4 linked regions of the Lonchura striata genome follow. The protein of the gene in region 1 purifies or fractionates together with the protein of each later gene. This does not show direct contact. Links are inferred from orthologs where the notes say so. Each region holds a gene or a part of one and is shown in the gene's direction. Other genes may lie near its edges.

What was found.
Region 2: the proteins of H2AX (region 1) and CALR purify together in Homo sapiens (affinity purification with western blotting; 3 studies listed by BioGRID and IntAct, with this or other methods). This does not show direct contact. The link is inferred for Lonchura striata from reciprocal best matches to the Homo sapiens genes H2AX and CALR.
Region 3: the proteins of H2AX (region 1) and ATM purify together in Homo sapiens (affinity purification with western blotting; 11 studies listed by BioGRID and IntAct, with this or other methods). This does not show direct contact. The link is inferred for Lonchura striata from reciprocal best matches to the Homo sapiens genes H2AX and ATM.
Region 4: the proteins of H2AX (region 1) and HNRNPR purify together in Homo sapiens (affinity purification with mass spectrometry; 3 studies listed by BioGRID and IntAct, with this or other methods). This does not show direct contact. The link is inferred for Lonchura striata from reciprocal best matches to the Homo sapiens genes H2AX and HNRNPR.

The regions. Positions count from the first base shown.
Region 1 is NC_134625.1:11,116,738-11,121,888, reverse strand, and holds H2AX (histone H2AX), read left to right. Parts: upstream 1-3,944; 5' UTR 3,945-3,962; coding exon 3,963-4,364; 3' UTR 4,365-4,650; downstream 4,651-5,151. Other genes in the region: DPAGT1 (UDP-N-acetylglucosamine--dolichyl-phosphate N-acetylglucosaminephosphotransferase), read left to right, coding at 992-1,057. UniProt on the Homo sapiens protein: Variant histone H2A which replaces conventional H2A in a subset of nucleosomes. Nucleosomes wrap and compact DNA into chromatin, limiting DNA accessibility to the cellular machineries which require DNA as a template.
Region 2 is NC_134623.1:1,279,488-1,287,168, forward strand, and holds the start of CALR (calreticulin), read left to right. Parts: upstream 1-4,675; 5' UTR 4,676-4,733; coding exon 4,734-4,830; intron 4,831-5,682; coding exon 5,683-5,784; intron 5,785-5,873; coding exon 5,874-6,077; intron 6,078-6,556; coding exon 6,557-6,651; intron 6,652-6,754; coding exon 6,755-6,964; intron 6,965-7,178; coding exon 7,179-7,292; intron 7,293-7,381; coding exon 7,382-7,525; intron 7,526-7,604; coding exon 7,605-7,681. Other genes in the region: FARSA (phenylalanine--tRNA ligase alpha subunit), read right to left, coding at 1-81, 169-283, 455-532, 605-773, 1,049-1,148, 1,236-1,320, 1,671-1,786, 2,043-2,171 and 5 more. UniProt on the Homo sapiens protein: Calcium-binding chaperone that promotes folding, oligomeric assembly and quality control in the endoplasmic reticulum (ER) via the calreticulin/calnexin cycle.
Region 3 is NC_134604.1:44,467,450-44,474,416, forward strand, and holds the start of ATM (serine-protein kinase ATM), read left to right. Parts: upstream 1-3,951; 5' UTR 3,952-4,061; intron 4,062-5,758; 5' UTR 5,759-5,787; coding exon 5,788-5,859; intron 5,860-5,944; coding exon 5,945-6,057; intron 6,058-6,607; coding exon 6,608-6,753; intron 6,754-6,967. Other genes in the region: protein NPAT, read right to left, coding at 643-761, 3,784-3,820.
Region 4 is NC_134628.1:5,309,204-5,316,558, reverse strand, and holds the start of HNRNPR (heterogeneous nuclear ribonucleoprotein R), read left to right. Parts: upstream 1-4,329; 5' UTR 4,330-4,398; coding exon 4,399-4,473; intron 4,474-7,355. UniProt on the Homo sapiens protein: Component of ribonucleosomes, which are complexes of at least 20 other different heterogeneous nuclear ribonucleoproteins (hnRNP). hnRNP play an important role in processing of precursor mRNA in the nucleus.

The DNA.
Region 1 (5,151 bases):
AGGAGAAAAGAAATCCACACACAGCTCTCTGTTCACTGAGAGCTTATAAAAAAAAGTCAGGAGGTTAGCTTAAGAAGATTCCCAAAGCACGAGTAATTGATTCCAAGGAAAACATGAGCACAGCAGAGTGCCTTGTCACTCTTGCTCAAGACAGCCTTTTGGTATGTCCTGTTTTTCAGTAATACCAAGTAACAGTCTCAGAGTTGTCACCAGCAAGTGGGCTTCTGTAAGCATGGCACACGGCTCAGCAGTTTCTCAGTCTGAGGGGCATGTGGGAGCATTTGGAAGCCACTTGGAGCATAAGGATATGCTTCACAGATCTTGCCACTGCCTCTATTCAGCATGTGAATTTTTGAGCATAGTGTAGTAAAAACATCACTTTTTGGAAAGGCCTGCATTGATTAACTGCCCACAATAAAATCCTTCTTTTCATCTTCAGATTTAGGATAAGGTATTCTTACTAGGAAAGAGACAGGCAGTTTCTGATTTGAGAGGAAAAACTTGCAATGAAAGCCTGTTGAGGGCTCAGGCAGATGACATCGGGGATGGGAGAAGACAGGAAGTACATAGCACTTACCCAGTCACAGCAGAGAAGTCCAGACAGCACCTTATAGTAAGGATGCTGAATTTCAGCTTTGACATAAGGTATTTTCTAATACAAACCACGGGGTTTATGTTACAATACAGGCTCCTTAAGGGAGAAGGAGTTACTCCAACTTTTATCTCATCCACGTGTTCTTAGAATGTGATTGTGTGCAGGAACATGGAGAAATCTCCCACTGATATCTAAAATCATCAGAGAAAGAAACAATGTCTTTGGTTGGCCTGCCATTTATCTTCCTATACCTAAAAGAAGTAGCCTTTTAGTTGCTCTTTTATGAAACAAGGCATACTGGAAAGTTTAGCAAATCCATTTGGAAAAGAGGAATCTGACAGCCTGTAAACCATTTGACAGTATAATGTTTCTGTTATGTGTCTGATTTTTACCTAGGTCCTTGGCAGCACGATTGCATTTTCAATCCGGTACCAACTAGTGCGCTTGTTTTATGATGTCTGACTGGACTGTTGGGAGCAAGGGAAAGAGTTCTACCTGCCATCTCCTCCAGTTGCTTGACCAAATGATTCAACTGATGTTGCTCCTGCCTTCTGGGATCCTCAGAATACCTGTCAAAATGCAAGCAACTGCTTTGCATGGGCTAGTTTTGAACCAGGATGTTCTTTGTGCACCAAAGGCTTTTGTCCAATTCTGTGGTAGAAAAGATTCACTGCTACTTGGACATCGGTGTTATTAAGAATACATTTTAGAGGGGAAGCAAATGACAGCACTTAGGGAAAGTGGGAAAGATGGAATCTCTATACATCTAGCAAAGTCATTACTGTTCACCAAGAGAGAAAACAGCAACTTTAATTTCTGTGAGGAAAATAAGGAAACCAGACTCCGTTCCTGGCTTCTCAATCCTGTTTTTGGTCCATGGACATAGAATGACATGTTATAACCCATACTCAAAGCTCAGAGTGCTCCAAGAATAAAACAATTCATGGTACCCTTTCCCCTGCAGTGCTTTGCCTCGACAATATTGACAGGCAGTGAAACTAGGTTATATCCATCTGTAGCTTTCTACCCTCTTAGGCAGTTGATCATTTCTGCAGTGGACTCCCTATTTTTTATGGCTACTGGAAATGTTCCTGCTGATGAGGTTTTAATTCTGAATACCTTTATAGTCTGCCTTCCTCCCTGGAAGAGGACATGCTAGCAGAGTGAGGATCACCACATCCTTGTCTTAAGAGGGAATCAATAGATCCTTTATTAATGTAGAACTAAGGCCCTGATTGGCTAACTGCCAATCCCTTTTCCTCGATTACAAATAGCTACTTATAGAGCAGTATTTAGCACCAGTTGAACACAGAATTGCTACAGAAAAAACATAGAACAGCCATTGGGGTACCAGATTATAGTCTTTGCACCTCCCAACACCCAAGTTCGGCTAGTAACAAGGCTTGGAATGCATTACCAGAAGGCAAAAATGCCTGTGTCCAGCAGCACTGATCAACACAGAAAACACACAGCACTCAAGTATGAATGGTACAAGTGGCTGAAGCCTCTTCCTTCCCTCCAGCAGATCAGTTTGTAAGTCTACTAGTACAGTGTATTCATCACCACATCCACATAGACATCATGAAATTGAAATGAACAGGGTCCATGCCTTTATTAGTGTTCAGCTCTATTAAAAAGTCAGCTCGGCACAGGGGTGGTGTAGCTTCTTCCGGTAGCCGAAGGGTGAGAAGGCTGCAGAGTCTGTCCCTGGAGTGGCACGCTGGTAGCCGGAGGTGCAGAGGTGTCCAGTCTGTATCTGAAGTCCCAGCAGACCATCCTCTCTCCTTTCCTCCGAAGGCTGGGGGGATGTGCAGAGCCTGCTGCTAAGGTCCAGCAGCAGCTATCCCCCTCCTGCCCTCCTGGTAACACCAGGTAAAGTGTCTGATTCCTTGTGCCTGCTTCCCACAGCCCAGTCCAATCTGGTCCTCAGCAGGTCATGGTGACAGGTCAAACACAGACTAGGGATGGGCTTCCCTTTTCCCCAACCAGCACACCCATCCAGCCCCCTCCACTGTGCCCCTCTTTTACATTTAGGGGTGTTTTTCATCCCCAAAACCCCCTCCCATGATTCCACTGGATTCTTCTGCATCCCAGTCCTAGTTTGGGTGGGGGTGTAGGTGATTCCCAGGAGCAATTGGGTAATTAACATTTCAATGTCAGTACTTAGTTCGAGCCAAGTGTCCCAGCCAGGCTGTTTTGTTCATAACAAAATCATTCAGTTCCTGGCCTTAAACAGTCTGTCCAGTAACCAGCTGCTAGATTTCCTGGTATCAAGGAATATGAACAGAGAAATCTCTCTGCTAGCTGACCTAGGAATGTGGCCTTCCAATAGGTACTTCTAGGACAGCCACTCCATTTTCCTCAGAAAGTTGGCTTACCTCCAGTAAGCATCCTGCTGCTCCCGTATCTGGTCCTGGGCTCCAAAGCCCATTATCCTACTTGCTGTCTAGGTCTTGCTCCTTCGCTAGGGATGACTCACACTTGCATTCCACCTAGCCCTGGGCCCTTCCTGCATGTGCTGAAGTCTTCCCATTTTCTGGAACGACACTGGCTGCTCTGATTTGTGTCCTAATCCTAGTTGCTGGCAACTGGACCTCCAGAGGCACACAGCATAGACAGTCTGCTCACTCTGGGGGAAAAAACATACAAGTTGGGTTAATTAAGACAGCACAGACTGCAGAGATAATTCTTACTGATCAGCAACATTTTAAAACATTACCACTTTCTTCACTTTTATTTTTCCTTCAATGTTCCCATGGGTTTTTTTCTCCTAGTCCACTTTGACTCCTCACTCTCCTTTGGTGCTTCTCTTAATATACCTGTATTATAAACCCATGATGTATCTCACACATTGACAAAAGGATCTCATGGTAGGTTTTTTCATATCCCTAACTGTTCTTCCCCCCATGTGCCACCCTAAGGTAAATGCCCAACAGACAGGGATACCTTTCAGTCTGTAGGCATCCCGGGAGCCCCTCTACCTTGCCCTGGGTGGAAGCCAGGCGCAGGGACTGTCCCCAGCCCTCATAAAGCACGGTGCGCCCTGAGGGCGGCACGAGAGGCGCGGAGGGACCGGCGGCAGCGCGCATGCTCGCTGAGGGCCGGCGGCAGAGCCCCAGCGATCGCTCGGCGTGGTTTAAATTTGGCGCCTCGCTTGCTGATTGGCCGGACCACGCGGCCAACACATTCAGAGCAAGCGCGTTGGTATCACAGAAGCGACCAGTCAGCAAAAAGCTTCTTCCGGCAAACGCACCAATAGCTAGGGGCGGCGGCGCTGTCCAATGAGCTGGCCCCTACTTGGCGGGAGGTTATAAAAATCCCGGCCGCGGCCTCCCGGGCGCATCGGTTCAGCAGCGCGGCGAGCGCCATGTCCGGCCGTGGCAAGAGCGGCGGCAAGGGCCGCGCTAAGGCCAAGTCTCGCTCGTCCCGGGCCGGGCTGCAGTTCCCGGTAGGGCGCGTCCACCGACTGCTGCGGCGCGGGCACTACGCAGAGCGGGTGGGGGCGGGTGCGCCCGTGTACCTGGCGGCCGTGCTCGAGTACCTGACCGCCGAGATCCTGGAGCTGGCGGGCAACGCGGCTCGCGACAACAAGAAGACGCGCATCATCCCCCGTCACCTGCAGCTGGCGGTGCGCAACGACGAGGAGCTCAACAAGCTGTTAGGCGGCGTTACCATCGCGCAGGGCGGCGTCCTGCCCAACATCCAGGCTGTGCTGCTGCCCAAGAAGACCAGCAAGAAGGGCAGCCGGCAGCAGTCGCAAGAGTACTAGGCCGGCCGGCCCTCCCGGCACAATTCAAAGGCCCTTTTCAGGGCCACCTCATTGCTCACTGGGAGAGCTGCGATCCGCGGAGGAGGCGGGAGGAGGGCAGGGCGCGAGAGGCGTGGCCGGCCGCGGGGAGCTGGGCCGGGGGGAGCGGGCAGTAACCGGCCCGGGGTCAGTCAAGACACTGAGCCTGAGAGCTGCTCAGTAAGGAGCCGTTATTTTCATTCCTACCTACCTCTGGGACATGCAGTGGACGTTGTCTGGAAAATAAAACTTTATTTACAAAACAGGACCCCCGGTGCTGTTACAGTATTTCTTCAAGGCACTGTAACAATAAAATCCTGCTCAGAGGATGCTGACCCAGTAGCAAGAGCAGGAAGCCAGTGTCTGGAATCTGGGCTTCTGCTTCAGCTCCCCCTTCATAGGCAAGTCTAGCTAATTGGCTCTCGTGACCTTTGTGGATAAACATACAAGGGAAGCCAATCTAGCTAGTCTAATATATATGTGTATGTATGTATTGTATCAATCTAATACCACCCAATTGGCTAGTATAATGGTGAACGTAATTAGCCTTTGCCAAGACCAAGGGTGAATGTAGCATCTCTGCTCCTTTACTATAAGGAACATGCTATCAGGAATCTAATGGGAACCTTTGGTGATCCAGTGAGTGAAAAGGCCCAGATAATGACTCCCGAAAACACTCAGCACAGTACGGCATTTTAGTACCAGCGCAGTTGTGTATCCGATTATAACCCAACAGGCACTCTGCTCCTAAATGGAATTGAACACTTAA
Region 2 (7,681 bases), on another chromosome or scaffold:
CTGTCGTAGACCATCTGCAGGTTGACACGGTGCCCCACCAGCTCCCGGATGTTGTTGATGCCGTATTTGATCATGGTGGGTCTGGGGGGGAAGGTGAGATTTGGGGGGTCAGGGGGTGGGATGGGCCCACATTGGGGTCCCCCCCCGCAGGTGAACCCCCCCACTCACCGCTCCAGCGACAGCCCCCAGGCGATGACGGAGACGTTCTCGGGGAGCCCCATGGGCAGCAGCAGCTCGGGGCGGAAGACCCCCGAGTTTCCCACCTCCACCCACTTCTTCAGCCCTGGGGGGCGAGGGGGGCAGACGAGGATCAGCACCCACAGACCCCCTCCCCATATCAGAACCCCACAGCGCTCCCCCCGCTCCAGGGGAGCTCAAGGTCATCCCCAGACCCCCAGCTCTAAGAGAAAACCCCCCCAAGACCCCCCTGCTCCAAGTGGGGACCCCCCCTCACCCTCGTGGTAGCTGAACACCTCCATGCTGGGCTCCGTGTAGGGGTTGTAGGCAGGTTTGAAACGCAGCTGGGAGATGCCTGGGGGGCACACGGGGGGTCAGGGGGGCACACGGGGGGTCCGAGGGGTCCCCCCCAGTGCCCCCCGTGTACCCAGCTTGGTGAAGAACTGCCGGAGGATGCCCATGAGGTGGCCCAGGGTGAGCCCCCGGTCGGCCACCAGCCCCTCGACCTGGTGGAACTCGGCCAAGTGCGTCGCGTCCAGGCTCTCGTTGCGGAACACGCGGTCGATGGAGAAATATTTCACGGGGGCGAACTTCTCCTGGGGTGTGGGAGGGGAGATACACGGGGATGATGGGGGGCAGCTGGGACCCCCAGACTGCCCCACAACTGCTCTGATCCTCCTCAAGCTGCTCCGAGCTTCCTGAGCCCCCAACAACGCTGAGCCTCCTAAACCGATCTGAGCCCCCCGAATCCCACCCGCACCCAAAACCCACTAATCCCCCCCAAAAAATCCCTCTGTTCCCCCTCGTGGGAACCCCCCCAGACCCTGCCTGGGCTCCCAAAGCCCCTCAGACCCTCCCCAAGCCCCCAGACCTGCCGTGCCAGCTGGAACAGGGCGCGGGCGCTGGCTGACGTGGTGTGGGTCCTCAGCAGGTTCTTCCGCGCCTCCTCCACCTTCCACTCATACCTGTACCTGGGGGGGGGGCCAAAAAGGGGCTTCAGAGGGGTGGGGGACACACACGGGACCCCCCTGAATCGCCCCCCAGGGTCGGGGTCTCACCCCTGTGAGCCGTAGCCTCCCTGCGAGTGCACCTTCTTCACCTTGGAGTAGTAGCCAGGGGGCAACTGGGGGGCTTCAGCGGGGTCTGGGGGGGGCAAAAAGGTGAGGGGGGGGGCCTGGAGGGCTTTGAGGGGTGTTTGTGGGGGCTCAGGGGAGCTTGTCAGAGGGGTCTGGGGGATCAGAGGGATGTGGGGGATCAGAGGGGTGTGGGGCAGTGTTGCGGGGCTGTGGGGGGCTTGTCAGAGGGGTATGGGGGATCAGGGGGGTGTGGGGCAGGGCTGGGGGGCTGTGGGGGATCAGAGGGGTGTGGGGCAGGGCTGGGGGGCTGAGGGGGGTTCAGAGGGATGTGGGGGATCAGAGGGGTGTGGGGCAGGGCTGGGGGGTTCAGAGGGGTCCCAGGGGGGTCAGCAGGTCCCCGTGCCCCCCAGCACCCACCCAGCAGGAAGAAGGTGTCGTGCTGGTCACGCGCCGGGTGCTGCTGGGGCTGGAAGAGCGCGTCGAAATTCCAGAAGGAGCTCTCCACAAAATTCTTCGTGGGCATCTCCGTGAACCTGGCGGGGCCCCCCCATGATCCAGAACCCCGAGTACACAAAGTGAGGCCCTGGGGGGCTGCCGGGGAAGGGGCTGGGGCCCCCTCTGAACCCCCATTTGTGCCCCCCAAGGCCGCAGCAGATCGACAACGACGAGCGCAGCCCCGACCCCCTCCCTGCTCCACTCCTCCGACAGCTTTGGGGTCTGAGGGGGGGTCCCCAGGAGCTGCAGGTGAAGCCCCCACAGGTGAATCAGGCCCCCCGGCCCTCCGCTCACCCCATCTCCAGGAAGATCTGGCGCAGCTCCGAGCGCACCTTGAGCAGGGGGTGCAGGTGGCCGCAGGCGGGGGGCAGCCCCAGCGAGGAGAAGTTGTAGGGTTTGAAGGGCAGCTGGCGCCAGGAGCCCCTGCAGGACGGGCCAGGGGGTCACTGCAGGGCTGGGGAGGGGCCTGGGGGCTCGAGGAGGGTCCTGGGGGCTCAGGGAGGGTCTTGGAGGGTCAGGGAGGGTCCTGGGGGGGTCAGGGAAGGTCCTTGGGGCTCAGGGAGGGTCCTGGGAGGGGTCAGGGAGGGTCCTGGGGGGTCAGGGAGGGTCCTGGGAGGTCAGGGAAGGTCCTGGGAGGTCGGGGAGGGTCCTGGGGGGTCGGGGAGGCTCGGGGAGGGATGGGTGTCGCCTACGTGGCGATCATCTCCGGGGTCAGCTCCGTCTCCGGCCGCGCCACCTCCGTGCTGAAGGCGCTGCCCTTGCGGATCCAGTAGGATTTGAGGGTCCTGGGGGAGGGCAGTGAGAGCATCGGTGACCCCCCATCTCCTCGTTAATTAGCGCTAATTTCATTAAAGGTCGGCTTCACGGCGTTTTTATTTAATGCTTCGCCCGCAGGAGTTTGACACAGTTTAATTGGGTTGTTAGATCGCTGAGGTTTTAATTTCGCTGGGGTTAACCGTGACAAACTTCAGTTAAAAAAAAACCCACAAAGGTTTAAAAATGGGGTCGGTGAGGCCCCAAAAACCTGTTAGACTGGACACTGCCAGCCTGACAAAAGCACAACGAAAGGCTCAAAGAGCGTGGACAGAAACGAAAACTGATAAATCAACAACCCCTAATCTAATTAATGAGTGAGACTGTGAAATTTGGAAGTAATTAATTGGCTCTGCCCCACTCACACTTCCAGGAGCAGCTTCCTCCTCTTGAGCTCGGCGCGCTCCCGCTCGGGCAGGGCGCCCCCGGCCCTCACCTGGCCCAGGTGCTCCTGCACCGTGTCCTGCACCGAGGGCACCTGGGGGGCACGGGGCTGGCAGACCCCTCCCCAAATACTCCTGACCCCCAGGGACCCCCGTTTGTCACCCCCGAGGACCCCCACCCATTCACCCCCAGCCTGCTCCCGGCTTCCAGGGATCCCCCCCGCCCCCCGCGGGACATCCCCGGGAATCAGAGACCCCCAGACCCCTCCTCAGGACAACCAGAGACCCCCAGACCCCTCCTCAAGGCACCCCCTGCTCCCAGTGACCCCCAGTCACCCCACCTTGGGCCACTCCCGCCTCCCGGGGACCTCCGTGCCCCCTCCCCGGGGCACTCCCGCCTCCCGGGGACCCCCGCCCGTTCCCCCGGGCCACTCACGGCGCGGAGCACGCGTGGGCCTCCGGCCGCTCCCTTATCCAGCCGCACCCACTTGTTGGCCATGGCCTTGCTGAAGCCCAAGGAGCCCCCGGGCAGCTTCTGCGAGGACACAGCAGCCGTGAGCAGCGCGACGACCGCCGGTGCCGGTACCGCCCCCCGCCCCGGTGCCCCCGGTACCCACCACGGCCTCGCCCTGCGGCAGCCCCTCCTCGGGGATGCTCCGGAACAGCCGCACCTCGGGGCTGCCGTCCCGCAGCACCTCCTCGCCCTCGGCGCTCAGCTCCCATCGTGTGGCCGTCCTCGCCTCCGCCTCGATCACCTGCACCGGCACCGGGGCGGGGGGTCAGCACCGCCCGGTACCGGCGCCCGGGGCTCCCCCCGCGCCGCGGCGGCCGCACCTCGCCCAGCGCCTGCAGGCTCTTGACGGCGCCCACGAGCGCCTGGTGGTCGACGCCGAGCTGGGCGGCGGCCTCGAGGCTGCAGAGCCCCGCGGCAGCGCCGGGCTGGCCCAGCCGCTGCAGCAGTCGCTCCGCCACGCTGGGCGCCATGGCCGGAAGTGAGCCCGGAGAACCGGAAGTTCCGTACGGCGCCGGCAAAGCGCCTCGCTGCGGGCGCCATCTTGGGAGTGGCGCAGAGCCCCGTGCGGAGCGTGGTGGGCGCCATGTTGGGTGTGGCGCGTGCGCGTGTGGGGGGGTCACGCAGGTGGCTGCGGGGGGGCGCAGTGACGTCAGGAAGTTGCAAAATGACGTCACGCTGTCCACCGCGGAGCCCAGCCGGGCTGATATGGCCCAGGGGTTCCTTAGAGCAGCCCCCGGCCCGGGTCCACCATCCTTGCGATCACACCTGCCGCGACCCCACTTAATCCATGACATCACCCCCGCGTCGCGGCGCTGTGTGAAGGGAAAGGCGAGCAGGAGGCCGCCCTACCCCGCGTGCGCCTTGCTCCCTCCCCATATTCCCGATTTCCCCTTAAATTCCCTCCCTCCCACCTCCGCTGCCGGGCCTGTCCCTTTAAGAGCGCGCGCCCCACGTGACCCCCAGAGCGAGGCGGGCGGGGGGGGGCGTCTCCCTCCGAACGCGTGGTCGCTCCTCATTGGCCACCGCGCTCAGCCAATGGGAAGCGGCCATCTGGGACGCCAACGTTCGGGGGCGCCGTCGCCGGCGGCGGGCGGGCGGGCGGCCAATGGGAGAGGGCCGCGCGCGGCCTCGGGCCAATGGCAGGGCGGCGGAGGCAGGGCGAGGGGCGGCGGGAGTATAAAAGGCGGCGGCACCTCCTCCCCCCTCCGCAGTGCCGGGCGGCGCCGGGCCGGGACGGACGGAGCGAGTGTTCCTAAACCCCCTCCCCCGCCAGCCATGAGCCCCCTCGGCGTCCTCGGCCCCGTCCTGTTCGGAGCCCTCCTGGCGGCCGCCGGCCCCACCCAGTTCTTCCGCGAGGAGTTCGGGGATGGAGGTGAGGGAGGGGCCGGGAGGGGGTCGCTGAGGGCGGGGCCTGAGGGGGGGGGGCTTTTGAGGTGAAGGGGTTGAGGGGGGGCGGTGCCTGGGGAGTCTGAGGGGAGTCTGAGGGGGAGGCAGGAGGCTGGGAGGGCCCTCTTGTGTCTTGTGAGGGGAGAGAATGGAGAGACCTTCCCGTCTTTTCTGAAGGGAGAATTAGGGGATCCTCTTGTGGTCTGTGAGGGGAGGGAATGGGAGCACCCCGTGTGACTTGTAAGGCGAGAAAGGAGGGAGCCTGTTGTGTTTTGTGAAGGGAGAGAATTCAGTGACCGCCCCCCCCCTCACCGTGTTCTGAGAGGGGAAAATGGAGTGATCCCGCTGTGTTCTTTAAAGAAATAATGGGGGGGACTGATCTGTGTTCTGTGAGGGGAACAGAACAGAATGGGGGCACTCTGCTGTGGTCTCTGAGGGAAACGAGGAGGGGATCCTCGGGTGTTGTGTGAGGGCAGAGAATGTGGAACGTGCTGCTCCCTGAGGTGACAGGGCGTGCAGGAGCCACTCCTCAGGTGTGGGCAGCGAGTGGGAGTCAGGGCAGGCAGGACGAAGCTGCTGAGGAATCCCTGAGCCAGCAAGGGTCACTGGAGGGACAGGCTGAGGGGGCTCAGCCTCAGCAGAGCAGGTGGACAAGAGAGAAAAGAGCAGGAAAAAGGCTCGTGAGGAACGCAGCAGCCACATGGAGAGGGTTCCTGGCGGGTGGGGGGACTCAGCTTTCCTCTGCGAGCCTAAAACCATCCAGCAAAGAGACCCTGCCCCAAGCCCTGAGCTGGGCGGGCAGGAGGGCTTTGGGGGTGCTGATCCTGCCCCCTCACAGACGCCTGGACCCGCCGGTGGGTGGAATCCAAGCACAAACCCGACTACGGCCGCTTCGTCCTCACCGCCGGCAAGTTCTACGGCGACGCCGAGAAGGACAAAGGTGAGCCGGGGAGCACGGCAGGCGGAGGGGGAAAGACCTCGAGGCTGGGGTTTTCTCCCCCTTCCCCAACCACGCCCCACGTCCCGCAGGGATCCAAACGAGCCAGGACGCCCGGTTCTACGCGCTGTCGTCGCGCTTCGAGCCCTTCAGCAACCGCGACAAGACGCTGGTGGTGCAGTTCACTGTCAAGCATGAGCAGAACATCGACTGTGGCGGCGGCTACGTCAAGCTCTTCCCGGCCAGCCTCAGCCAGGAGGACATGCACGGCGACTCCGAGTACAACATCATGTTTGGTGGGTGTCCCCCAAGCCCCCCAGGGTGGTCTCAGCCCCTTTCCCTGACCCTGAGTCTCCCCCTCGCCCCCCAGCCCCCTTGGGGTGGTCTTTTCCCTAGCACCATGTCCCCCCAGCCCCCCAGGGTGGTCTCAGCCCCTTTCTCTGACCCCATTGCCCCCCCTTTGCCCCTCAGCCCCTTTCCGTGACCCTGTGTCCCCCCCAGCCCCAGTGAGACAGAGTAAAAAATGTAATAAAATAGAAATATATTTAGCGTAACGTGAAATCAGCAAAATAAATATGTATGAGCCTATTACTAAATTTTATGCTTGTAGAAATTAGTCAGGGTTATAAAAAAGGATCAGGAGTTCCACGGGTTCACATGTCCATTGAAAAGTGATGAGTCCCCACATGCATCCACAGCACTGTAAATAAATATACTTTTGCCTACAAATCTTTGTTAAAATGGTGAAATTTAATTTTTCTCCATGTTTCGCCAGGCCCCGACATCTGCGGCCCCGGCACCAAGAAGGTGCACGTGATTTTTAACTACAAAGGGAAGAACGTGCTGATCAATAAGGACATTCGCTGCAAGGTGGGTCTGGGGGCTTTTGGGGGTGGGGGGTCCTGCTGTCCCCTGCTGTGTAGGGTCGGGGGGGGGGTCTGCAGCCCTGCTGAGCCCCCCCTGTGCCCCCCAGGACGACGAATTCACCCACCTGTACACGCTGGTGGTGCGGCCGGACAACACCTACGAGGTGAAGATCGACAACGCCCGCGTGGAGTCGGGGAGCCTGGAGGAGGATTGGGATTTCCTGCCCCCCAAAAAGATCAAAGACCCCGAGGCCAAGAAACCTGAGGACTGGGATGAGCGGGCCAAGATCGATGACCCCGAGGACACCAAACCTGAGGTGGGGAGGGGGCTTGGAGGGGCTTTTGGGGGGGGATTGGAGGGGTTTTAGGGAGGAACCTGGGGGGTCTCCAGGAGATTTGGGGGGGTGTTGTGAAAAGGTCCTGGAAGGATTAGGGGGAGAATGGGGGGGACTGGGTGAGAGGTGGGGAGGCGAGGGTGGTCCTGGGGAGCCACAGCAGCCCCCTGAGCCCCCCAACCCACCCCCCTTGCAGGACTGGGACAAACCCGAGCACATCCCGGACCCCGACGCCAAGAAACCGGAGGATTGGGACGAGGAGATGGACGGGGAGTGGGAGCCCCCCGTGATCCAGAACCCCGAGTACAAGGTGAGGCCTGGGGGGGCTGCTGCGGTGTTGGGGGGCTGCTGGGGGAGGGGCTGAGCCCCCTCTGAGCCCCAACTTGTGCCCCCCACCAGGGCGAGTGGAGGCCGCAGCAGATCGACAACCCCGACTACAAGGGCAAGTGGGTGCACCCTGAGATCGACAACCCCGAGTACAGCCCCGACCCCCTGCTCTACTCCTACGACAGCTTCGGGGTCATCGGCCTCGACCTCTGGCAGGTGAGGGGGGGTCCCCAGGAGGGGTCTCGGGGGGTCCCCAGGAGCTGCAGGACCCCCCCTGACTGCCCCGTGCCCACAGGTGAAGTCAGGCACCATCTTCGACAACTTCCTGATCACGGACGACGAGAAACTGGCGGAGGAGATCGGGAACGAGAC
Region 3 (6,967 bases), on another chromosome or scaffold:
AATACCTCAATCCTGTGATTTACAAAGTATAGTAAAAATTCCATTTTGTAAATTTGTTTAAAATGCAAACTATCTAATTATGGTCTAGAGCTCTACACATGTATCTAGAGATGTGGCTACACACTATTTATGCACACCCAAAATCCTGCCTTTCACCCGGAACAATGCAGATGATATCAAATAGAGAGGAGGCTGAACACAATTTTTGTCAATCAAATTTGTTAGACTTAAATAAATCTGAGGTGCCTTACCTAAATACTTACAATGCACCTGAAATGGAAAATTATTGGCTGCCATGCCTAGAATAGGAAAGTGATCTTGTAAATTACAGAAGTAGCCCTAAAATCAAGAAAACCCTTGTGACAACACCCTTCCATAAATCAACCTCAAAGCTGTAAAGCAGCCTAAGCATAATATTCTGAAACCAATTTGCATATTTCACGCTTACATTTTTCTTAGTAAGCATAAATACTAGAAACCAAATAACTGCTAATATCACAGGATGAAAAAAACACTAAACAAATCAAATATCAAACATTTTAAGCAGCATTTGAGAATTAATTGTTGCACTGAGAAATCCACTATATTGTTTTCCATGGATGCAAGACAATGTAAGTTTCTGCTTTGCAAATACAAACTCACCAGCAAGCAGGCTGGAATAAAACCATCTTCTGTACAGTGCTCTGCATATTCTTTCAAATCTGAACTTTCCAGAATAAATTGATGGCAGGTAGCTTGAAGATTTTCCTGTTGCAAATAGCCTGCAACAAATTAGATGGAAAATTTTGCTATTTCATTCATTATTTCTGCTCAATAGGTATCAAATCTGAATACAGTGCTGGAATAATCAGATAAAAATTTCCATGTAATAAAAGGGAAGTGTCATTATTTTGAAAATACATACGTTCCTACCAGATATTTAACAGTTAAAACCCAGAAGAGAAAAAAATATAGATTGTAATGACATTGTATTTTCAAAGTACTCAAAACTGGAAGTGAGGCAATATGAACAAATTTTAGTTTATCTTTACACACAAGAAAATAAATGTTCTCAGCTCAGAAGGCTGACAAACAAACCCTCATATGGGCTGAACCACCCTATTTGATACTTCAATGGAAATCTACAATATTTTGTTAATGAAACACCTTGCTATGTAAGAGTAATTCTCCACACATTGTACTGTTTCAAAATAGGTAAAACCTGTACAGCTGCTGCAATAGTGGATAAGATATATTAAAAATATTGGCACTGTACAAAAATTAGTAACAGAAAAGGTCCCCCCCACACACTTACAGAAATTTTCATTTAGGATAGATGTACCAGATGCAAATTTTGCTCTCTACACCCTATGAATCAGTAGTTACCATCACAGAAAATGTACTGACAAAGTTTTCTTTTCGTCAAATATGTTCTGCTTTAATTAAACATTTTAACCCTGCTTTAATCTTCAAACACCTTAAACACTAAAAGATAGAAATAGACCAATCTGAATGAAGGATTCTAAAACAAAGAAACACAGAGAAAATGTTTCTTCCTTCTCGCTCCTAGCAGAGCTTAGCATGGAATGTTTTAAGGATAAAATAAAACATGTGCCTAGTTGTACAACGCAGGATATATACATTATCTATTTCAATGGACCCCCAAAATGCTCCACCTCAGTTCATGAATACCTGCAGAAAAATGTGCCCTTTAAGTGCCGTTTAAATGAGAACAAATATCTTTCAGCAGATCTGAGTACAGCTGAAGAAAACAAATAGTATTTCCATCATGCAAGTCTTGTTCATGTCTTCAACAAGTAGGCAAACTTGAAAATTAAACACAGCCTGGGAATACCCACTGTGAATTTAATCACAATGTAAAAGCAGGCCTGACCTGACAGAAAACATCAGTAGTGCCTGCAGAAAGAAAAGGAATATCCTATTTAATTTTTCAATTACATTTTTCCTAGAAAAATCTCGAGCCACAAGTGGCTGAATGTGTATTTCTCCACAAACACAATGATATCTCACTATGGTCCAGGCTGGAAGATGGGGTATTAGGTTCAGAGGAGCTCTGATCTGTGCAGGTATGACTGCTCTTACAATCATCCTTACCTGAACACTTAACAAAAAAAGTTGCCGTTTTTCTTTCTTGAACCTACTACTACAGTATCACAAGTGATGACCGAATGTTTGCATACGGGCACGTTTGACATACACCAGTTTCCTGGTAATAAAGCATTTCAAAGGCTAAAAATGCCTGTGCATCTGGCCCAAACTGCTTGTGCACACACTGTATAATGACATAGGACACCAAAATCAAAGGCACAAAAGGTGTCCTACGTAGATTTTGAATGTATGGAAATTATTCAATATTTTGCTCTACCTTAAGAAATGTCTAACCCATAGTACACATTCACTCTATCAGATAGGAAAAGATAAATGTTCTTATGCATATCCTGTGTGTGAGCTCAGCTTATAATTTTAGTTTTGTTTCTTTAACAAATACTCATCAACTTTCACAGCACCAGAAAGATTTTGTGGGGGGCTTGGGGGAGAAAGGTGGAAGAGCTTGCACTGGGAAGTCTATTTACCACTGAAATTCAGAGATGTCTCACAGAAGAGGAATCCCTATTAGAGAATAAAAATGGTTACAAGGAATGTCCTGTTCTGCAACTTTAGGTTGCTCAGAGGTTTTCCAGACATGATGCATGCTCCGTGCCACAACAGACACAAGACAGGATGGATCATTCTCAGCACACAGGATGCCAAGATTGTGTGCTACATCTTCAGGTTGCTGGTAAGCACATAAGAAAAGCTTTCTACCTGGAAACTTGTAACTTCACCAATCTTGTTTGGAAGAGCGCAATGAGAGATCTCACTTGTATGAATTCAAATTTTCTTTTACAGTCCATGGAGTTTCTAAAAATCCTGTTACTTCACAGTAATAAAAAAATTGCATCTCTCACTAGCCTTTTTCTCAAGACAGTAGCAAGCAACAGTTCAGGTAGTATTTAAAAATAACTTGTGCTAGGGGAACACTTAAGAAGAGTTTCAGTTTTAATGTCTTTGGATTTTAAAAAACTGAAAACTGAATCTCACAGGGCAAGCTGCCAGGAAATCATGGCAACCTGTGCCAATAAGTACTTTGTACATGTGGGACTGAAATATGTGAGTCATATTTTTCCTTACCATCAATTTGCTCTCACCTTTGGCAGAATCCAAATAATCCAAAGCATAAAGTCATTTTTAAAGATTCACTGTCTGCTACCAGTGTCCTGAACACACTTACGCAGTGCTTTCCATAGACTCTGATCACGAGTCTGAACTCTTAAGTGCATCCTCAAAAGTGAGCGAAACACGGTCGAAAAGAAAAACCATCTGACCCTTAACGCAGCCCTCCCTGGGATTTCGGGTCACGCTTGGACTCCTGCAATCAGGAACTGTTGAAGCACGGCTCAGCAGCTCTCGGTGTGCAGGTGGGCACCGCAGACCGCCACGTTTCCCTGGACTCGCCAAGAAGCCGAGCCCAAGGCACGGCTGGGGAGCGGCCTGCTCGCTCAGCCCCGAATCCCCCAGCAGCGAGCACAGGCCGGGCCGGGGGGCGGCGGGCCGGCCCAGCAGCGCCCGGTATAAACGCCGGCAGCGACAATCCAGCCTGGGGGACCAAGAGACGTTGCCAAGGGGCAAGGGCGAAGCCGGCCGTGTCCCGCCGCGCCTCGGGCGGCTGACAATGCCCGGCACAGCCCTCCCGGTGCTCCGCGCCTCACCCAGGCATCCCTCCGTCCCTCCCGGCTCACTCACCCAGCACCAGCCGGGCCACGTCGGACGGCAGCAGCATGGCCCGAGGCGCAGCGGGGCACGGGCGGGCGCAGCGGGGCACGGGCGGGCGCAGCCGGCCGCCCCGCCACCCAGGCGAAGGCGCGGAAACTCCGCCAGCCAGCGCCGCGCCCGGCCCCTTCCGCCGGAACCCGCCGCGGCCGCTCATCCGCTTCCAGGTCCGCCCGCAGCCGCGGCTTCCACGCGTGAGCCCCGCTCCGCTGCGCCCCGCCGGGAGCGGGGCTGCGAGCGCCACGGCCGAGGTGAGGGGCTGGGCCCGGGCGGGGCGGCCGCGGCCCCGGCTGCGGCGCTGAGGGGCGGCGGCCCGGGGTTACCGGGACCGGGGCTGCCGGGACCGGGGCCGGGGCTGGCGGGGTTGCCGGGGCCAGGGCTGCCGCTCGGCGCTGCCTGCGTGCCCGTGCCGGGGCACCTCGCAGCGCCTCCGCCAGCTCCTCTCTCCGCCGTTCATGGTTTTGGTGCGCCCGCCTTCCCATGTGTCATTCATGTGCGCGGGAAGGCGGCCGTCATGGGATAGGTGGAAAACTAATCAGCAAGAGAAAGAGTACGTGGATTCATTCTTGGGAATTTCTCAGTGCTGCTGTTATGGTTGTTGGCAGCAGACGACCCTTGTTGCCGCAGTTTTCGATCAAGCGCATCAGAAGCCGCGGGTGTTTGAAAAGTTTGTTTCCGTTTCGTTTCCAGCAAGAGCATCGAGTCTGCTGGGTTGGGTTGTTTTGTGTTCCGGTGCCCAACCACCAGAGGGACAGAGAGTGGTTGAGCGCTGGCGCAGGCTCCCCAGGGAAGAGCTCTCAGCGCCAACCTGCCTGACTGCAAGAGCTGCTCGGACAACTCTTTCAGGCATTTGATGTGATTCTTGCGTCCTGCACAGGGCCAGGAATTGGACTTAGGGGATCCTTGTGCGTCCCTTCCAACTCAGGATGGTTCTTGAATTTAGTAAAGGAACATTTAATTTAAATAAGTGCGGTTGTGCAGTACAGGCAGCCTTCACACTTAAAATGTATTATTTTTCACACACATCTATGAGTCACCGAATCTCTGATCTTACTTAGTTCCAGCCTGATCTTGATTGACACCAAAGGAAATAAATGCAGTCTAAGACAGTAGATATTTAAAGTTTTGCTTATTTAAATGACGATTTTTGTATTGTCATGTAAGCACTCAAGATGCAGTGCTGTGCATCATGAATGCCTGTTCTCCCTTGCTTATTACATCCAGCAGCACGTGTTTGGAGTTACTTCCAGCTTGTGTGATCTGTCTTTTCCAAACAGGGTTTCTCTTGAGTCTACTTTAAGGGTGCAAAAGTAGAAGCAGAGGATTTAAATAGAATGTCATGGTTCTGATCTGCAACATCGTAACTTCATGTAATACAAGGTCTAGCTAATTCAAACCTCTATGGAAGAAGAAGCATACTTTTAAGTGATGACAGAAGGAAAAGTTGTTTTTTCATATGACTGATACTTAATCATCCTTTGGCATGTTTAGTCCCTGGGGATTCATCAATAGATAGTGCATACCTATGAAAATTTACAATGTGAGGGAGCATTTTCCAGGCGGTGCCTTCTCCTGGCAGTATCAGGTTAAGAGGGCTACTGAAAGTTAGGTCCACTTGCCAGAGTGTATTTAGCTCTGTCATTCTTACTATAATTGTCCTCTCAATTGTCTGCCCAGGTCTACTCAGCGCTCATGGGAAAGGGAGGAAGTCAGAATTATGTGATGGGGTTCTCTGCAGTTATTCTGTGACTGTTGTCTGTGGGAATAGATCGCATTCTTGACATGAAACTGCTTGAGTTTTCAACCAATAAGACTGACCCAGCTGCAAATGAGCTTTTTGGTGAAACATTGAACATCGTGGTTCTGTTTGATACTGGACTTTCAGTATACATTTTTACTGGGCTGCATGGTCAATAATTACTATTTTATCCATTTCTTCTGTGTGCAGATATAAATGACTCTTCTTTAAGCTGAACCATGAGTCTTGCATTACATGATCTGCTGGTTTGTTGTCGTCGCCTTGAAAATGAGAAAGCTGTGGAGCGAAGGGTAACAAGTTTTCTTTTGGGCAGTATACCTCAAATCGCAATGAAGGGAATCATAACAAATTATTCTTTTTGTAATACATTTTCAGAAGGAAATTGAAAATTTCAAGCAACTTCTCCGTGATTCTGAAACAGTTCTCCAGCTGGACCGGAATTCTGATTCTAAACAAGCAAAGCAACTCAACTGGGATGCTGTATTTAGGTAGCTTCTTGGTTTTGTTTGTGAATGGTCACAATTTTCTTGAATGGGACATGAATTTAAATAGAAGGCCAGAAAATCTATAGCAATTACATGACAAATACCGTGAAAAGTGTAATTTATTCATAGATCTAAGACATAATCCATATATTAACTTCGAATTATAAGGAAATAAGACTTAAAGGCTTTTGCAGTAAAAGCAATGATAAATACTTCTTATTATTTTGTTTTATAATGTTGCAGCATAAATAAAAATACTTAGCAATGCTTTTTTCTTAATTGTAAGTTGTATGTTTAGCACTGTGCAAAGTTTAAAGGAAAGTTTGATTCCTACTCCAAGTTGCTATGGGTTATTTTTAAAACTTGCGTCTCCTTTTATAAGCTGTTTTCCAGTCATGCTTGGACTGTAGTGTATTTCAGTTGGGTTTAGTCTTTGATAATCACAATTGTGAGAAGAACAGGAACTGGCATTTTAGCCTAAACCAACATTTTCCTATTTTACTTCAGTCATAAATGAGCAGATCCTTGGTTAATCTCTCCTTTATTTTTGAAGTGTCTTGCAGAAATATTTCCAGAAAGAACTTAAAAACCTGCAACTGACAAAACCAAATGCATCTGCTTCAACCCAAACTGCAAGACAGAAAAAAATACAAGAATTTGGAAGTTTGGTCAAATATTTCATCAGATGTGCCAATAAACGTCAGTAATACGTATTATCATATAGAGATACTGGTTTGGTTTGGTACTTTGCTTTCAACTTTGAATTTATCTTTGAAGTTACCAATGTAGGGCTCATCATATTTGCTTCCAGGTTTTTGCTATTTAAATATCTTAAGGTGAATCTGTCACTTGTGCTCCTTATCTGTCCTTTTTGGTGTTCACAGTGCCTTTTTCTAATTACTCAATGTGTCTA
Region 4 (7,355 bases), on another chromosome or scaffold:
TATCTGCAGAGTGAGTGACACCACTGTCACTCTAATGTCCTTAAACCCTCTTCTTCAATGAATATGTCACCCATGTGATGAGCCCTGGAAGAGAGGCTATGGAGTGTCCTTGCCTGGCCATGCTCAGTCTGTGGTGTGGTGAGTTCTGCCAAGGCTGTGTGCAGAGCTTCCTGTGGGCTTTGTTCCTTTTATTTGGGGCTAATTAACAAATTACAAGCACCCTCCCCACCTCTCTGAACCTGGTGAGATGAACTGAGTCATGAAAAGCAATATACTATTGGGTTTGGGTTATAACTATTTAAAAATCCATTTTTTTGCCTTTTTCAGAATGTTTTTCCAGGGTTGGCTTCCCCAAAAGTTGCAGAGTCACTAGTGAGAAGTTTGGCACTAACAGCTTCAGTGAACTGTGGAGAGCTGACATAAATATTAGGCCAACTCTGTATTCAGAAAGGAACAGATGAGGGTTTAAATTCACATCTCTGGGTTTTATTCTGCATTTTGGTGTACTAACTATGCCATGTAAACTCAGCCACAGAGCCTCTGCCCAAGCACCTGTAAGGGGGAGGATTTGCTATGAGACTGGGAATGCAGAGATTTGGACCTTTGTACCACTGCTGAATTCCCTCAGGGCTGCAGTGTGCAAGTCAGTACCTTGCTACACCACAGAGCTTTCTTGCCCACCAGCAAATGACATGAACATTTAAATGACTTGCAGCAAGCAGTTTGGGTTCACTCACCACTTCCAGGGCCTGTGGATGGAGAGATGCCAGCTACAGACTGTTTGCTGCAGGATTCCAGAGCAGGAATGCCGGGGAGTAAAATAAGATTATACCTCAGACTGGGTGGTTGCTGGGGAGTTAAAAAGGCACAAGTTGTCAAGAGACCTTTCCAGGATTCCCCCTCAGTCTGTGCAAGCTGGAAGACAGGGCTTAGTTTTCTTTTGGAAAGCAACAAACATCTGCCATCTAATTCTGGTTCAGAGCAACCAAAACCCAAAGCTGATGTTTGAAACAGGTAAGGCTGCAAGGATAGTGCTGAACTCACATCACAGGCCACAGAGGGACTAATTGTTCTGGGTTTCCTCAATTGCTCTGGAATGGCTGATGGCATGACTAGTCCCCTGCTTTGTCCCCCAGGCACAGGGGTACACAAAGGAAGGGATTCTTCTCTCTTCTCTGCCAGAACTGGTGCATCTTGATTATTTGCTAGTTCTTCAGGGTTGGATTGACCCTATTCACAACACCCTGACTTCCCATAGCCACCTACAGTGCAGCTCCATGAAGAGTTTCACTTCTTGGAGCAGATGCTTATCCTTAACACCAGATCCTCTGTCTGTACTGTGCTTCAAAAGATCACAGCCCAGCACTACTTAGCTACTGCAGGAGAAAGAAAAGTGCAATTTATTTTCAGCTAAAACTGAGCTGGTGATTTTTGCTGCAGCAAACAGAAGCTATTTCCCAAGTTGCTTGGTTTCTGCTGCATCCTACACAAATGTGATGGAAATTGCAAATAATCCTTGGCTCAGGGGTGGGGGAAAAAAATGAAAAGAAAGGAACGTGAGATCCAAGATCTTTAGCAAGCTGGTTTTAATGCAAGGCACCCAGGTAGCCCAGTCTGGTCTCTTTGGGCCTTTTTGTCACACTCAACCTTCCCACTCCAGAGCAGATAAAGGGAAAGAGGCAAGACAAAGACAAAGCACATGTGTGTGTTTTCCTAAAAATCAACTACACTGCCTGTGTGAGGCAAAATAAACATATGTGCACAGGGTAATAACAGTAGCATGGCCTCTGCAGGCAGAAATTTTTCTGAGCATTTCCCTGTTGTAGAGGTCGTGGAACACACTGAGGGCGCTCAGAAAGTTTCTTACTGATAAATAAAGCTTGAAGATTTTTAAGACAGACCTCCCCCTGAAAGCCTGGGATTTAGCAAACATGTAGGAGCTGTTCTCTGAGAGCTCCAGAGAACAAGGTATTTACTGGAGGTGGGCACATCTGTAATATATCATCCATTATATGCTGCACACTAATGATTGGTCAGGGTAAGAAGTCTAGAGCATCAGGAAATGTAATATTCCATCTATAAGTTAACAGCTCACCTACAAATTACATCAGATTCAACTCTGTCATCTTGCCATTGATGTGGAACACCCAGGAATTTCAGCCCAGTGTGGAAGGGAAGCGACAGACTGATGGGAACACGCTGAGCTTCAGCAACCTCTGGCCACTGAACACAGGAAAATGCCAACAAGTTGTAAGTGGAAAAGCTGGATCCCTTCACTTTGCTCTGTCCCCAAAGGGGTGCTGAAGGAGCAGAGCAGGGCAGCCTCCTTGCCAGGCAGGCTCTCCCTCTGCATGGTCAGGGCATCCTCCCCTCCCAGCTCTCAGCAGCTGAGATTAATCCTCTCCTTGGTTCCAAAACAAATTTATTTTGTCTTGGCCCAGGACTAAATCAGATCTTGCATGTACCTGTTCAGCTCCCATCACAGAGAGCTGTAACTAGTCGCATTCTGGGATTTTCTAGCAAAGATTAAAATTGAGAAATCTATCCAAAATTTAAATTACATCATCTCAGAGCATCTAGGGCCTCCTCTCAGGCATTGCTTGCCGTCTGGCACTAACCCAAATACCTGCAGGCTATAGCTTCTTCCTGGCTAGAGGTGTCAGATCATTTTGGGCTGAGGCTGTAGTGTGTAACATGAGACCAAAGAACAAAGCAGTGCAAAGCACACATAACCTAGGGTGGGAGTTGCTAGAGATATTCCGGAAATTATTCTCAAGATACATTTTGCTTATTAGCCTCATCATGTTCAGTTGCCAGCTGACAGGACATATGTCATTATACTTCATTATTCATTCCTAGTTACTATATTATAAAATATTTAAGAGCTTTACAGGACATTTTTAAGCACCCCTAATAATGTTAAGTTCCCTCAATTCCTCTCAATATTTGTATTGTGAGAACTCCTTTAACCCATCATTCTTAACTACCAGAAAAAAACACTGCAGTGAACTGGGATGGACAAGGCAATGAATGATTACCCCTCTTTCCATCTCTACACCACAGTAGACCCAATACCCAGCACTGAAAAGCTGGCTCTACTGCCAGATCTCAAGAGGGAAGTCACTGAGGCACTGCCAATTCTACAAGAGAAGCAGCATGTCTGTCACCAGACAGGTTCAGCAAGACAGACTGAACACCTCCAGAATCTGTCTCCAGCTTCTGACTTGGAAACATTGGACATAACATACCACATTTCCACAAGTCCCACATCACCAGTGGTGGGACATCACACATACGATAGTCACCACACAGACACATGCCATCTTTAGGAAAGTAATTTTGGGGTGAAAGTACTGAAGATCCTTCTCTGAGAATACATGAGCTGTTACTTTTGTTAGATTCCAGAGGCACAGTTGCATCTGCACCAGATGCGACTGTGGTTTGCACAGATTCCAGCCGCACAGTTGACATGACCGTAGGAACACGTGCAGGTGCTCTGGGTTTAGTTTCACACAGCACTCTGGGACTCAGCCTGACCCAACCCAGCACACATTGACTTCCACGTTATGCAACAGCATGACAAGCACGTGAAGCCGGCCCAACACCATCGGTGCCAACAGGCTGATGTCTTCCTCACTTATCTCTTTATTGTGTCCAGCCGGCACTCATCAAGAGCCTGATCAAGAAAATCTGGTGAGCAGGCAAGTAAGACTTAATCTCCGGTTAATTACAGATTAGCAGCTGTAGAGCTGTGTCCTGAGATAAGCCTGACCCGTAGCTCCCGCAGCCGCATGGCTTCTCCTCCTCGCCTCGGGCCTGGAGGGCATCGCGGCCAGCCCCGGTCCGGGGGCTCACACAAGGCAAAGGCTCGGAGAGAGCGAGAGGCCGCAGGGGCGGACAGGGCCGCGCCGGGGTCCCGGGCGCGCCGCGGGGAACAGGGGCAGCCGCAGCCCCGGGCGCACCGCGGGGAGCAGCCCCGGGGTCCCGGGCGCACCGCGGGGAGCAGCCCCGGGTCCCGGGCGCACCGCGGGGCGCACCGCGGGGAGCAGCGCCGGGGCAGCCCCGGTGTCGCCCCCTCAGCCCCGGTCCCGCCCTGCGCGCGGGGCGGAGCCGAGCGCAGCGGCCCCGCGCGCTCCCTTTGTTCGGGCCGCGGGAGGCGCTGCCCCTTTAAATGCCCCCAGTCCGGCCCTACCGGCGCGCCGGGTGGAAGGCGCCCCGCGATTGGTTACGGCGCCTCCCTCTCATTGGCCGCCCGGAGGAATGGCGCGTCCCGCCTCTCGCATCTCATTGGCTCTGCCGGCTGCCCGTCCGCAGCGCGGGTTTCTGAGTGGGCGAAGCAGCGGTCCCTGGAAACAGTTCCGGGAAACCCCGCGTGCTGCCGGGGTCGCGCCGCCGTCCATGAGGAGAAGGAGGAGCGCGCGCCATTTGCCGTCGCTGCTTGGGCCCGAGCTGCGCCGCGCCGGCCCCGCTCCGGTGAGTGCCGGGGCCGCCCCGCGGGGCAGGGGCGCTCCGCGGCCGCGCCGAGCGCTCCTGCGTGGGCCCCGCGAGGGGACGGGCGGCGCGGGTTGCGGGCAGGCCCGGCGCGGGCGGGGACGGGCCCGGGGAGCTGGCGCGGCGGAGCGAAGGGGGGCGGGGGCCATGGCGGGGCTGCTCCACGGGCAAAGCGGGCGGGCGCGGGCGCGGGAGCGGCGCCGGGGAGGGGCCGGGGGCGGGCCCGGCGGGTGGGGGTGGGGGGCGGCCGGCCCGCTCCGCCCAGCCGTGCGGATCAGGGTTGCATGTGACGGGCGGCCGGGACGCGCCTCTCCCGGGGCTGTGGGTCGGGTCGGGTCCCTGCTCGGTCCCTCCGGGCTCTTAAAGCCGCAGCAGCCCCGGCTGTTGCGGTTGTGCGCGGTCCGCTCTGTCCGCGGGCGCAGAGGAACGCTCTCAGCAGCGAACGCGTCGCTGTCGCAGCGCGCCCTTAGATCTTGGGTAGCGCATGATGTGCTGGAGCCGGCAGGGACAGCTGCGCCCACCCGCAGCGCTCGGCTCTGCGCTTCCTACTTCCACGGAGGGAATAACGCTTGTCAAGTGCTTAAAGGGGAAACTAGCCAAAGTTTTGTTGTTCAGACGTTGTTTTTCTTGAATTAACTTTTGTCGAAAGCCTTTACTAAATCTTGAAAAGTTTTGTTTAAATGCATCATTGTTGCAAATACTTTAAAAATAAGACTTTATTTACTCGGTCTGAACAGCCTTGTTACCTGTCAGTATTTGAACATGCTACTTAAGTACATAAGCTGTGCTGGACTACTCTTTTTGAAACAGTGTGTTGGCTTCCCTTTCCCATGTTTATGGCTCTGAAGGATCTCACCGGCACTTCGTGCTGCAAAGGACATTAATGCTCATGAAGCTGGTGCTTCGGTTTTTTGATTGGTTGGGTTTTTTCACTTTGAGACTACACTTTAGCATAGTTTTTTGTTTTTTACTTGTAAAAGTAATCTAATGAATTTTGCATCTCACAGTGTTAGGTGTTTTTGTAACCTGTGTAAAATGTAGTGTTTGCAAACGAGCAGTGTCTGCTTGAAAATTTTGCTTCCTTGAAATTGTGTTTCCCACAAGCATTGCATGTCCTTATTTCTCAGTTTTTCTAAGTGAACACTGTTGAAATAATACTCGAGTCGCCTGCTGGCACTTAAGTTCCTGGTTGAGTCAAAAATCCCAGTATTCCCTGCTTTGTTAGACATCTGCAAAATTCTTTAAGGATAAATTCTTTAGAACAAAGCTCATTTCTTTTGAAGTGTTGCTTGGAACTGGAGTACTGAGAGTGTTGTTTAGTACAACTCGGACAACCAGATGAGCTATGAATAGCCAACTCCAGTGAGAAATGAGCATGGGCAGACGGTTTAGATTAGCAAAACAGAGGAGCTATTGGTGCAGTCAGTGTTTTTTAATGGCACTGATGGGCGCGTTGCTAACTTGCTGTGCTAAAGTCATCTCCCAGTCATAGTTGTGTGGGTACTGGAAGCAGAGTTTGTTTCTCTCTGGGCTGTGCTGGTCCCTTGCTTGGCATTGTACTGGAGGTTGTCAGATTTTTCCAAGGGGCTGTGGAGTGAGCAAGGCTGAGCTGGAGAGGTGAGGGTGCCAGCTGCATTTTGGCTTACAGGTAGTGAGAAATCCTGGCTATTCTGTGAAGGTCTTCAGGCTGTGTTTACTTCAAAATAAGGTTTCATGTAATTCATGCCAAAAAACACCTAGCATATCATAATTAAGTTATTAAAAATGTGCTTTCTGTGTTTGAATAAGATATGGTATAAAAGAAATGGCTAAAATGCCTTTATGTACAAAATAAAGGGCCCACCCTTTTGTACATGCCTTTGTGTACAGAAATATTTCTGAACAAGTGAGGTTTTAATAAAACCCCAGTTCAGATTTTAAATGTGAATTCTTATTTTCCCCCCACTTGTATATTTATCTTCCTTGCTTGACAAGAACCTTCTTGATGTGTGAGGCATAACTATAGGGACTGCATTTGTTCCCTTGTGGTCAATTAAAACAACAAAACCAAACAAATGTTCCTCAAACTTCCTTCAGTGTTATTTTTAACATGATTTAACTTAACTGCTTAACACAGATAGTGTATTGATTCGGAGTAGCAACATAAGTGAGTGGAATGACTTTGGTGCAGAGTTTTTATGGATGCATTGGTTGGCTTCCTGTGCACCTGAGCTAAGCAAGTCCCATTCCTGCATGAAACTAAGCTTTCAGCAGCAAAACCAGTATTGATGTGTAATCACTGAAGTTTGTTGTGGTCATTTTAGATATTGTCCTCTTGCCAGAAATTTTCTGTTCCTTCTCAATTAAGCTGCTCCTAAGCATGTTTTGAGTTAACTAGACTGAATTTATAATTAATTGGATGGAGTTATACTTAGATAGTCTGTAGGTGGCAACCTCTGTTAGAGGCATGGTATAAGATAAAGGAAATAGTAACATCATGGCTGTTTATCCAGTGATTGTCAGATTAAGGCTGTGATCAGGTATCTCTTTTCAAGATGCCATAAACCTTGAGGACCACACCTCTGTTAATTTTTTTGTTTTCCAGAAAAATAACTAATTGAGCCATATAAGTTATGAAACACTGGAATCGCCTGTAGTTTTAACTTCCTACTTGTCATATGAGAGCTTAAAAAGGGGGCTAGTAATTTTGTAAATTACTCTCAAGATGCAGGAATTTTGGATGAAAGATAGTGAACAGCTAAAACCATGCTTTTTATCATGAAGTATTTACAGTTTTCAGCAAAGCATTGTTTGCAACAGCAGTGTGAAACTTGAAACAAGACCTCTCCCGGTGTGCAGTTAGGAGGTGTGAGGGTAGGCAACAT